2 linked regions of the Mus musculus genome follow. The protein of the gene in region 2 binds, or shares a complex with, the protein of the main gene of each other region. Links are inferred from orthologs where the notes say so. Each region holds a gene or a part of one and is shown on either strand. Other genes may lie near its edges.

Evidence for each region. Proteins that work in one complex are often made in the same cells at the same time.
Region 1: the proteins of Cltc (region 2) and Dlgap5 are in contact, whole or in part, in a crystal structure (PDB 7ZX4), measured with the Homo sapiens proteins. The link is inferred for Mus musculus from reciprocal best matches to the Homo sapiens genes CLTC and DLGAP5. Residues at the interface, in NP_004850.1 of Homo sapiens: Val50, Arg64, Pro65, Ile66, Ser67, Ala68, Leu82, Lys83, Ala84, Thr87, Gln89, Phe91, Ile93, Lys96, Ser97, Lys98; in NP_055565.3 of Homo sapiens: Gly833, Asn834, Leu835, Ile836, Thr837, Phe838, Ser839, Pro840, Leu841.

Annotation. Positions count from the first base shown.
Region 1 is NC_000080.6:47,389,520-47,395,527, forward strand, and holds part of Dlgap5 (disks large-associated protein 5), read right to left. Parts: intron 4,799-6,008; coding exon 4,618-4,798; intron 2,261-4,617; coding exon 2,203-2,260; intron 1,144-2,202; coding exon 924-1,143; intron 1-923. UniProt on the Homo sapiens protein: Potential cell cycle regulator that may play a role in carcinogenesis of cancer cells. Mitotic phosphoprotein regulated by the ubiquitin-proteasome pathway.
Region 2 is NC_000077.6:86,753,298-86,760,007, forward strand, and holds the start of Cltc (clathrin heavy chain 1), read right to left. Parts: upstream 4,271-6,710; 5' UTR 3,993-4,270; coding exon 3,951-3,992; intron 1-3,950. UniProt on the Homo sapiens protein: Clathrin is the major protein of the polyhedral coat of coated pits and vesicles. Two different adapter protein complexes link the clathrin lattice either to the plasma membrane or to the trans-Golgi network.

The DNA.
Region 1 (6,008 bases), on a different chromosome or scaffold from region 2:
GGCAAAGCTTTAATCAATCAAATGAAGAAACAGACCTACTACACCTGGCTGTGTCACCTTGTTTAAATGCTCTTTAAGTATGAGCATCTTCTATAAGAAAGCACCATCCTCGTCATTTTAAAGGTACCCATGTTACTGAAGAGGAGCAGACAGAGGCCAGGGTGGTGCACACACCTGTAACGCCAGCACCCAGGAGGCAGGGCAGGTGGCTCTCCATGAGGTCCTGGACAGCCTGGTCTACACAGCAAGTTGCAGGCCAGCCAGGGCTACACAGTGAGATCATGGATCACGCAGACAAAAGACATTAAATGACTGTGCAGCTGTTAACATTTCATTTTACCTCAGGTCTCTGACAGACCTACAGAATAGTGAGGAAAACAGACCACCATTGCATTGTAACACAAATATGAGGCCCGTTTCCTTATAGAACAATCACAACATAGTACATAGCAACAGGCATTAGAAGGGAAAAGCAGGCTACTCTGAAGGTAGCGTCTGGATGGAGGCTGAAGAGAGCCGAGGGAAGTTCTGAGTCTAACAGATCAGGTCTACTGTCAAGGGCTCCCGTCTCCAGTGTGGGTCAGCATTGCTCTCTGAAGCATCACTTCATTTCTTTTTCTTCCCATTTTGAAACAAGGTCTCGCTGCATTGCTCTTGCTGGCCTGGGACACTGCGTGCAGTACAGGCTGGCCCTGAACTAGGAGTAACCCTCCTGTCTTGGCTTCTCTTTTGCTAGGATTATAAGCATGGCCCTTCACAGCTGGTTGAAGAACAAAGTATTCTGAAACTAGTTTGTAGGAGATAGTTATAGTGAGCTTCTAATAGCTTAACCCTCATCATGAGAACCTGGTTCTCAGAATTCTACAACAACCATCTACATCTGTACTGTTTTCCAGGCTTCATTGTATCTGAGAAGACCTAACCTGACTGCGACGCCTCAGCTTCTTCTTGTGAGGTGTTGCTCTGTGAGGAGGTATTTGTCTCAGGGTTGCTCATCAGCAAATCCTGGGAGGTGACTGCAGAGCTCGCTCCTTCCACAGCTGAGATTGCTTCTTTTTGATTGGTATTAGCATCACCAGCAGGAAGAGGCAAATTCGTTTCAACAGAGAAACAATCCATCTTGACATTTATTTTATTTACATCCTAGAGGCAAAAAGTAGTGCTCATTATATAATGTGCTCATTATAGATTCCAATCACCCATAAAGTGGGCATTACAAGGCCAAGAAGTGGGAGTAGGTGAGAAGGGGAGTGTGTTGGGGGGGAGGGTATGGGGGACTTTTGGGATAGCATTTGAAATGTAAATGAAGAAAATACCTAGTAAAAAAGTTAAAAAAAAAAAGTGGGCATTATAGATTCCAATCACTCGTAATTGGAACAAATGAAAAAAGTTTTACTGCTATTAAATATATGAAAAGCAGAAGGCTGACATAGTAAGAAATATATAAAGCATGCAAGACAGCACTCAGGGGGCAGAGGCAGGCAGAGCTCTCTGAGCTTGAGGTCAGCTTGGTCTACAGAGCAAGTTCCAGGACAGCCAGAGCTACTCAGGAAAACCCTATCTGGAAAAAAACAAAACAGAGAGTCTAAGGAACAGCCCGAGCTTCACTGTCTGGCTTCAGGCCACCTGTACATCATAAACAACACAGTAATGAAGACAACCTTTTCTGCAAGCGCCACACTCAGCTCAGAGACTGGCACACAGTTTCAGAAAGAGAAGGTCAATTACAAGAGCAAACTGGACCTGGTGTTACCCAGGACTCTGGGGTAAAAAGGTTCCAGTACACAGATGAGTATAGCTATTGTTATCATTACGTTTGGTTATAAAAAATAAAGGCCAGGGCAAGAGATGGTTCAGTGGTTAAGAGCACTGGCTGCTCTTCCCAGCACCCACACAGCAGTTCACAACCTTCTGTAATTCCAGGAGACTATGCACATAGTGCATAGATATACATGCAGGCAAAACACACATAAATAAAATAACTCTTAAAGAACTTTAAAGAGGCCAAAGATCGTGGATTCTCTAATTCTCTGGTTCTGCAGACATTTTGATGTGGCCTGAAGAATACAAAGAGAACATGGCTGCAAACAACCTGAGGGACATGCAAACGAGGACGACTCTGCCTGTAGTGTCTCCAGTAAGCGCCTGACATAAACAGATGACACCCTTGGCTACCTACCACTACCTTGCAATAGGACTTACATGCTCTATGTCACTTGAATCTTGCTCTCCAGGACAGGGGGTGTCTTCTACGTGGCACCTGAAACAAGCAGTGGTATTATACAGCAATCATGAAACATCACAATCATCCGACCTGTGCTGTCCATCCTGCATGGAGACCACTAGTTTGCATAACGGGGCTGAACACAGAGCCTGACCCAGGAGCCGTTGATCCATACAGACTAGACAGCTATTGTATGATGGCCACACAGATGATGTCCTTTTGTCCTGGAAGCTCACAGGCCCCTTCCTTTGCCAATCACTCAGTCTAATACCGTTCCACCTGCAATGTTGAATCTCAGCTAGATCCAGAGCCACATAACCAGAACAGGCCAGGGTGAGGCCAAGTCCTGAAGCAAAGCGGCTCAGTAATTGTGTAGGCAGCTTTGCTGTGCTCTGTGTGACAGGTTGGCTTCTCAATGTTCCTGCCTCAGCTTCCTAAGTGCTGGAACTACAAATGAGCTACCATGCCAGCAAGTTGGCTACGTTTACTTGATAGCATCATTAAATATATTCTAATCATAAATGTAAGTAGACACTAGATCTGAGTATGTGTGTGCCCACAAACACAGAGGCAGAACAAATATAAATGAAGATGTGATTGAAAAGAAGAACACAGTACAGGGCTGGCAGAGTGCTTGCCCAGAATGTGAAGGCTCTGTGTTCAATCCCAGGACCACCAAAAACCAAAACCATGAAGATGACACAAACAAACCCACTTAATTTGTATGTTAATAAAAAACAAATTGAGACAATGCATCTGTCATAATCTCTCCTAGGTAAAGGAGCTGCCACCAAGCCTGATCTGAGCTCAGCCCTGGAACTCACTCGAATGTTAGGAGGAGAGAACTGATTGCTGAAAGCCGCCCTCTGGCTTCCACACACGCCACAGCACCCATGCGTGAATCTACACATTCAAAGTAACTAAACAGAATGAAATTTTACTTCTTCACGTTTGTTTTAAAAATATTCTCTTCCAGAGAGATGAGTTTTTGCTTTTACAGAGGACGAGAGTTTGGTTCCCATATTGGTCAACTTACAATTGCTTGTAAGTCAGGCTCCAGGAAATCTGAAGTCCTCCTCTGCCCCTGCATGGACCCACACACGTGTAGCGCACACACATAAATAAAAGTGAATCTTAAACATCAACTTATTGTAAAGTTGGTTTTGTTTTTTTTTTTTCTTTTCCCAGTCAGGGTCTCTCTGTGTAGCCCAGGCTGTCCTGGAACTCACTTTGTAGACCAGGCTGGCCTCGAACTCAGAGATTCACCTGCTTTTGTCTTCCAGGTACTGGGATTAAAGTTATGCACCACCACTGCCTGGTTCAAAGTTGTTTTAAGATGCCTTCTGGTAAACGTTTGCAAATGAACATTAAAAAAGCTGTGTGTGTGTGTGTGTGTGTGTGAAGGCCACAGGCTTGCAAAACAAGTGACCCACTGAGCTATCTTGCTGGCCCCAGTAACAATATGACTCAACTGCTATTACAGGTCTTCTTAATATAGATAATAAACTATAAATTATATAAAGTCTAATAATAAATTATACAAAGTATGATAATAAATTGATATCTTACAAAACAGATTTTTATAATACCAAAAGCATTTTTGAGGCCCTAAAGGATGAAAATGCTTTTGGCATATATCAAAAGTTTAAAAAGACATTATAGTGCTGGGATTAAAGGCGTGCGCCACCATTGCCCGGCTAACATTTTTCAAACTTCAGGTTAATAACAAGTCCAACATCTTCTCCAGACATCAGATTACAATTTCCTACTTGTTTAAGGTTCCTCTTCCCCCTCAGATGAGCTGCACACTTATCTATGAGCCACCGGAAGGACAGCTTAGGTTATGCTGATGCAATTGTGTAGAGAATGGATCAGTTTGAGCAACTACAAGCTAAACTTCATTAAGATACCACTTAAGTTTCTCTCCCCGTCCCTGGCAGGGCTACTCTAAGGGTTGGCTAGCTAATGACCTAAAGCGATGTCTAGGTTGTCTGCACACACTGGGCACTTTCTCTCACCAGAGGATACCACACTGCTTCTCTCCCTTGTACTGCACGGTACACTTCTGCCAATTGCATCAGGACCACTTACCAACTTCAGTCCTGGTGCTTTAAGACAGGCAGTGTTGCTAAAGCTGGCTCCAAACTGCTGGCGAAATAATCCTTCCACCTCAGCCCCTGAGTGGCTATGATTACCAACACTAGAGTTGGTTCCAACCTGAAATCTGAAGTCTGTTTCCTTAGAAAAGAGGAAGCCTTGCCCACATGTTACAGGGTTACATGTGAAGTTTAATTAGAAACATACGGCTGATATATATACTTTACCAGCTTAACCATATGGAACGATAGCTCACGTCAATACCACTAAACTCACAGTACACATGAAAGAGATACCTGCTTTCAAGACCATCTGAAAACGTCCGATCAACATGCTCGCTCTTGCTGCTCTGAGGGTCCGGCTTCTTCAGTGGCATCTTCTGTCTCAGAAGGTCCCCTGCAGCCCTGCCCTCAGGCACAACTTTGCTGGCAGACAGAGGTGTTCCAAATCTTTGAGAACGACGTTCAGAAGACAGGACTGGAAATAAGAAGAACAAGCCCCATAGCAAGTCTTTCCGGCCAGTCTCTGTTCAGAGAGGAGGCACAGAGCCTGCTCTTGTCAACATCTGTTACTGTCCAGTACCAGGGGCTTTGTGGGACAAGAGGATCGTCACGTTAGCCCGTGCTTAGCTTTCATATGCCATGCCTATGATGCAAAAGGCTGCCGAGAGGCTCAGTTGTTAAGGACACTGGCTGTTCTCCCGGAGGAGCCAGGTTTGGTTCCCAGCACCTAGTGATATTTCACGACAGCTCTAACTCCAGGTCCCGGGGATCTGATATTCTCCTCTGACTTCCACAGGCATCAGGCACACACGTGGTGTGGACAAAGTGTAGGTAAAGGTACATAAAATCAAACTAAAACTTAGAAAGAAAGACGAAGAGGTGCACCTCTACAGGAAGAATGTTTTAGAAGGTATAATGTAAATTAGCAAGTGGGCTATCCCTAGCTAACGCAGGCAACAAGTGCTTGGGTCAAGAGCGTTGACTCAGAGGAGTGGCGGCGCACACCTTTATCTCAGCACTTAGGAAGAGGTAAGAGATCTCTGTGAGTTTGACGCCAGCCTGGTCTATATAGTGACCAGCAAGGGCCACACAGAGAAACCCCGAGTCAAAAGAGAGTCTTTCCTGGTAAGTTGAGACATCAGCTGTATCCTGCTGTAGATGGTTACCAAACACCGCTGAAACATAGGCTAGTCATGGGAACAGGGGAACAAGAAAGCATTACAGATAAACTGCTGAGATACTCGGCTTCCTCCAACATGGCACTTGAGCAGCTGCTGCCAGAACCACAGTCCTAGCAGGAGGTAAGAGAATGACCTCACGTGGGTAGCGTACAGGAGACTGTTGAATACAGGGATGCGCAGTGGGGGCTGGTGGCACAAGCCCGACACCACATCCTCTCCAGAGGCTCAGACAGCAAGCTACAGGCCTGTGTGAGTCCAAGGACAGCCTGGGAAACTTAGCCAAGCCTTGTCTAAAAAGAGAGGATTTCAGAAAAGGAGGCTATGTCTGGAGGGACAAGTGCTTGCTAACCATATGTCAAGCTGAGTTTGCCCCCAAGGATCTCAAACACAGCAGCACAGATGACTCCCTCAACCCCCGTGCAGAAGGGCATGGCTGAGGGAAGTGTGATGGCTCAGGTCTGCTTCCTCTGCATTGTACCCCTAGCCCAGCTTGTCTCGGAACCT
Region 2 (6,710 bases):
ATTATTTATTTTATGTCTATGAGCACACTGTAGCTGTCTTCAGAGGGCATTGGATCCCATTACAGAGATTGTAAGCCACTATGTGTTTGCTGAGAACTGAACCCAGGACCTCTGGAAGAGCAGTCAGTATTCTTAACCAGTGAGCCATCTCTCCAACCCTCTTGCTCTCTCTCTCTCTCTCTTTTTAATTAGATTTATTTATTTTATGTACATGAGAATTTTGCCTGCATATACCTATGTGTGCTACATGTGTGCCTGGTATCCTTGGAGGACTGAAGAGCCCCTGGAACTGGAGTTACAGGAGATGAGGAGTTGTCTGTATGTGATGGGAACCAAACCCAGGTGCTCAGGAAGAGTTAACAGTCGCTCTTAAGCACAGAGCACCTCTCTGGTCCCTTGTAGCATCTCTTAAAGGCAATCACTGCAGCAGGGCATGATGATGCAGGCCTAGAACCCCGGCACTCAAGAGGCTGAGAAGCAAGAGGATTTTGAATCTGAATCCACTCTGGGCAACATTAGCAAGACACTGTCTTTAAAATATGATTTATGGTCAGGTGTGATGGAATATGCAATAATTCCAGCACGCTGGAGCCAGAGGCAAGCAGATCTCAGTTCAAAGCCATCCTGTTATACATAGTAAGTTTCAGACCAGACAGTGCGATATAGTTAAGACTCTGTCTTAAAAACAGAAGAGGCGATCCAAACCCCATTCTGACTATGGCCCCTGAGTACGGCCTCCAGCCTTAGTCTTCCACTGTTAATGTGAGACAGGACCAAGGGCTGAGTGAGGACACAGCACACAACAGAAGTTGGACTGCTCTCCTCCTCACTCTCTAGCCCTCACTTATCAGAAACAACTGTCCCAACAGCACACTACCCAAGTTCCCAAGACTTTAAAGTGAAAACCATAGTTTTGCATACCTTAAAGTATAATCCCAAACAGGGCACAAGTATTTTCATTAAAATTGGCCAAACTCCTTAAAGCTGAGTAAACTAACCTTTAAGAAAATTCTGGGGGGGGTGGGGGGGGAGGGAATCGGTCTTCATTTAAACTATTTCCACGGTAGATTAGAGTCTACTTCCAGGTGGCATGCTCTTCTAGTCTTCCTAAGCATCTATTACTGCTTTCTCTTTGAAACCAAAACCTTCTTAAGAATCCTACTATTCAACTCAGCAACACATTGCATGTCTGTGTTTATGGATCAAAGAGAGAAGAACGGGGTGGAAAGATTTGTAAATGAAAATTAAAAGTATCCAAATGCTCAACAAAATGTGTCAATTGCAAAATGCTTAATATGCCAGGAACTGAAAATTGCAGGCAGTGGGGTTTTGTTGTTTTGTCCTTTGAGACAGGGTTTTGCTGGCTGGCACTGAACTTTCTGAGTTCTGCAGCCTAGAATTTGTTCAGAATCTGCAACTCAACAAAAATTCCTTCATCACATAAAATATCAAAATTATGTGATATAGTTCCAAGCCTTGATGACAGATCTTCATCTAAACAAATGCACAAAGGGATATGAAAATAAATAGCAATTTTTTATTTGCAACATTCTCATAAAAAGTTTAAAATAAATTAATTTAGAGTTTGCTGTTAACTTTCACAAGTGAACTCTACACTCCTTACTTCCCAGTTCTCCTAAATGCTTTAGAAAGTTGTTTTCTAAGCAGAATGGCAGAGGCTGGGCAATCAAAGACTTAAGATGACAACTGGAATAATCCTTACACTGTATGTTTGTTTGTTAAAAGAGAGGGAATAAAAGTCTGAGATCAGAAGATACATTATCCTTTCGGCACACCTGACTCTATCTACTAGAGTGGGATCCTACCAGCCAAAGCCTAAAGTGTAATGAGGTCCTCCAGAAAATAAGCATCCGAGATCTTCAAGTGTATCTGTAAAGCTATTTTATAAATATTCAAAATCTTTAAATTTTGGAAAACAGTTTCAAATATTTGCAGAAATTGCTACTCACATGCCACACCTGCATTAAATCTGTTTTTAATTAGTGACAAGTTTGGATTCCAGTCTGTAAGACCATTCAACAATTCTGGTCTTGAGTTTAATAGAAATGAAAAACTATTACTCAAATCACCAGCAACGGTCATGTCATCAGCAGTTGTCTTTGCTTCTTTTGTGTAAGGTTTATACACATATTTGCAGAAAGCTATTTCTGGTAACTTCAGTGTGGCCAAGTGTTAATCCCAAAGATGGGAGAAGAAAAAACAGCAACCCAAATCATGGTCAAATTAATTAAAGCAAGCAATTAATTAAAGCTAGATTTTTTTCTGTTGTTAGTGTACACAGGCTGCCTCCCTCTTAACTCAGCCTGAAGAGCCCACTGTCCACTAACATCCAGAACAGTGCTTTCCTAACACTTTATATTCTTAACAGAGGAAACTCAAGCTTGAATTGAGAACAAAAATTAACTTCTCTGTCAGCATTGTCACTTGACATTTTTCAGACCTTTACAAAATAGAGATCTTATTGCCAAAATCAGATGAATTATTTGAAAACTAGTGATGACTGAAGAAAATGTATTCAAGTCATTTAATGGGCAAAGAAGTCCTAAAGTAAAATAATTCGTTAATGTTAGCAACACGGTAAAGTCTATAAAGAAATATTTAATTATTTTACTTGGTGCTAAATTTTAGTTAACCCTCTTTATTATCAAACATCTTTTATGTATATCAATGAAGAAAAGTAAATCAGATTGCCTTCAATGATAAAGCACTCAATAAGTTACCAATATTTGAACTGGATCACTGCACCTCCCCCTCATGAAATTAGCCCTTCAGAAGATGCAGCTGAAAGCAGATTTCTTTATGGGGATACTTGAGGGAAAGTAAATTAATATGAATAAATTATGATGTCAAAGAGTCGGGACAAGTGAACCAGGAAAATCAGCAGTTCAGAAGAAGCGTAATTCAGCGAAGCCCTCCAACAGTCACCTGCCTAGGCCAACTGCTGGCAGGTTGCCAGGTTAGACAATGGTGTATTGACTCCAGGATAAGGTGCAGTGGGGGGCGGAGGGGGGACGCCCCAGACTATTAAAAAGGAGCCAGTTACAGATCAACTTGTTAGGTACTGACACAGAGCAGGTATGCACTTAAACCCGGCTCTGATGAATTCCACGCAGTCCTGTGAGACATACTCCTGCCGTAATCCCACAACTACCTGCTAAATTCCAAAAGGCCATAAATAACCTCTAAATAACTCTCCCTACCTGCAAGAATCAAAGTGAGCCTAAGAGCTACACTAACCCTCTGAAGAAACCAAGAAAGGAAAAATATGCGCGTTCCCCTTGGGACCTTGACCCCAGGCACCGAGACTGACACCGCCCCTTGCCGCCCCTCTATCTTCTTTCTGTTCCTTCAGTGAGTGTGACCTTCGGTTCCTTATAGATTCAGGGAAGGCAAGCCACGAGCCACTGCTACCCTAACCCCAAGGTGCCTTTCTCAGTGGTGAGCTGCAGAGGGAGGATGCAGCTCCTCCCCAACCCACCCGCCACACAATTCCTGGGTGCAGACTCGATGTAGAAATGGGAATAGACCAAGGGAAGGTGACAGCCCCGCGTCGCTCAGGGTTAACGAGAAATCTTGCTCTGGGAGAAACGCGCGAGAAGCTCCCCCACCTAGCCCCTACCCAAATGAATGAACTGAGTAAAATGGGAAGGGGGGTCTGGTATGCGCAGTTCTTGCAATCCAGGAAGCAGAATAAGAGGTCGTCAGACGTAAGGCCTGGCCTCGCCGCCCTTTGCACTCCGATTCGTCATTTCCATCCTAGTCTCATATCATTTAACCCTTTAAGCTTTTAAGACACTGTCCTTCCTCCACCTATGCCAAATACCGACACCCCCCACTCCCCTTCTCTCGATCCCTTTCGGGCCAGGCCGCTAGCTTCTTCCTTCCCACGACCCTCGAAAAGTCCCTCAGCAGCCCCGACTCACACGTACCTGGAGATGCTCCTGAAAGCGAATGGGCAGAATCTGGGCCATGGCGCTGTCGGGGAGTATGGTCTCCTCCTGTCACTGGGGCTGCAGGGCAGTGCCTGCCCGGGCTCTCCAAGGGAGAGGAGGAGACGGGGAAGGGGAGGGGAGGCTGGGCTCAGAGGGATACTCTCCGGGGACGCAGGGAACTGGCAGGCAGACGAGAGAGCTTGGGTCGGGGGCGGAGGCTCCAGGGGCCGGGAGAGCCGCAATGGCGGAACCGGGAGCAGCGCAGACTCCGGAAACGGCTGAGCCCTGCGGAAGGATCCCGAGGCAGAACTCCGCCCAGTCTCCTCACGCCGTCCGCCTTATGTAGCCTTCCACAGACGCCGCGCCGCGGTCGGGCGTAGGGATTCAGGGACGCAGTGCGCGGAGCGCTCTTCGCTGATGCGGCTGCGGGGAAACAGAGGAACCGAGGGACTACTTTTTCTAGACTCATCACTTTCCCCAGGCTCCGGTTTCTCCCTTCTCCCCTCCCCCCTCCCACTTTTTTTTTTTTTTAACATTTTGCCACATCATGCGACTCGGGGCGAACTACGTCATTTCCGTAGGCGCTGTAAGACCCACCCACGCACTTCCCGGTGCACGTGATGCGGGTAGGGAAGGGTCGGTTGAAGGCTGCCAGAGTGGAGGGCGAGAGGCAAGATACTGGCCGCTGCTCCTGGGGAGGAGGTGGCGGTTGAGCCCCCTGCCGGCGTGGCGGCCTGGGCGTGAGGACACCGAGTGCCTGAGGAGAAGGCCGCGGCGTGGGTGCCGCGGTGACTAAGGGAAACGGCCCCGCCGCAGAGCTCCTCGGGCGGCTGGCTGCGGCGCGCCTCCCCCGCCTGGTTTCGCGCAGTGGGTGGTTGCTGACACCTCAGGGAGGGGGACCGTACTGAGCTGCAAGCTTCCTTGCCCTGACGCACGCCCTTCTGACGCCAGGAGAGCCGGATGGCTCCTCGAGATCCTCAGATAAACCATCTCAAAGGACAGGGAAGGCCATGGGAGAAGAATCTCCTGCTGGCCCCTGGAGAGCGCTTCCGCGGACATTTTGGTGGACTTAGATCAGCCTAGTGTAGAGATCAGTTTGGCCTTCGAGAACTGGAGGGTTCGGCCACAGGAAAAAGCTTAAAAGATGTAGATCAAAGGATGGCTAGGGAAAGAAACCTCAGGGGCTGTCTTGGAGCTGAGGGATTGACTGTTAGTCATACATGGTAGTAGGACCATTACCTGTAGTTACAGGGTGGGCGATGTAATAAGCCCTTCAAAACCGGAGCACCTTGCCTTCCTACAGCAGTAAGCTATCTGCAGCATTCATTAGCGATTAATAGCCGCCCCAGAGCTCTTGCTAAAGTGTAAGGTGTAATGTCTCACAATAGCACCAATATAAGGAAGATTTAGAGAGTTCATTTCCACATAGTTCGTCTTAATCCCCCTGAAAGTTCTTGAGGAAATTACTTTCAATGCCCCTTTCAACCTAAAGAACATAAGACAACCACTGGGTGTACAATAATTTTGCGTAAGCGGTTTTGCTTAGAGAAATCTGCTTAGTCATTTCAGTTGCGTTTAGTATTCCCCCCAAATACTGCCTTTCATATCTGGGCTGAGAGGAGAACCAGGCAAGTGAGAAGGCAGACAACAGACCCTTGAAGAAGAGCCTTGCCACCATATTTAGGATGTTTTGTGTTTACATAATTTCACTTAAGCACTTGAATGTGCCCTGTCCTGCAATGTTTGAAAAGATTGTTTTCATAAGACTTTGTCCTTTTCTAGAGGTGGGCAAATTTTAAATTAAAATCCTAAGGGAGTTACTGTTTTATTACAGAAATGTCAGTAGCTTAATAGAATTGCACTTTCAATCTCAGAATTTGGGATGTAAGAGCTTCACCATGAACAGATCACCACATTTCAATTTATTGACAAGGGCCTTGTATTTTCATACAGACCCTGCATGAAAGGACATTTCAAATCCCCAGAGCAGTTGATTTTACTTCCTTGGTGTGGAATACCTAACCAAAAAGTGCGCTGAGACTGCTTTGTCATCACACATAGAAATTTCAAGAATGAGTTGTTTTCAGAAATCATTTAGAAAGAAGAAAAGTAGATGGTGATATCCCAAATCATTCTGCTTATTAATAGGACTGCTGCCTTGCCTGCCAGATTCTCCTCTCAGCCTAAATATGAAAGGCAGTATTGGAGAAAAACAGTAAAAGCAACTAAAATGACTAAGCAGATTTCACTCAGCAAAGGCACCTTAAACAGTTAATGCCCCCCCCCCTTTTTTTTTCCAAGAGAAAAATAGTGTAAATGATAATGCTACCCAATGCTGGGGACACTGTGGTGCTCACCTGTGATCCTCACACTGGAGGGTTCTGAGGCAGGAAGATCTAGAGTTCCACATAGCAGGACCTTGTTCCCCCAAACTAGAACAGCTCCAAACTGGCATGCCTCTTAAAGATCAGTAATTTGCTGTAATAAAAGATGATTATAATGAGATTGTGCTGGCTAAATTTCCAGCAGGACAGAGACAGGGGAAAGGACAGTTCCTGGTTTAGAAATCCCAAACACAGTAATCCCAGCATTCGGGAGGCAGAGGCAGGCGGATCTCTGAGGCCAGCCGGGTCTACAGAGTGAGTTCCAGGACAGTCAGGGCTACACAGAGAAACCCTATCATGTAAAACCAAAAAGAAAAAAGAAATCCCAAACACTGAGGCACTAAGTTTTCTAAGCTATACCTAAAAGGCGTGG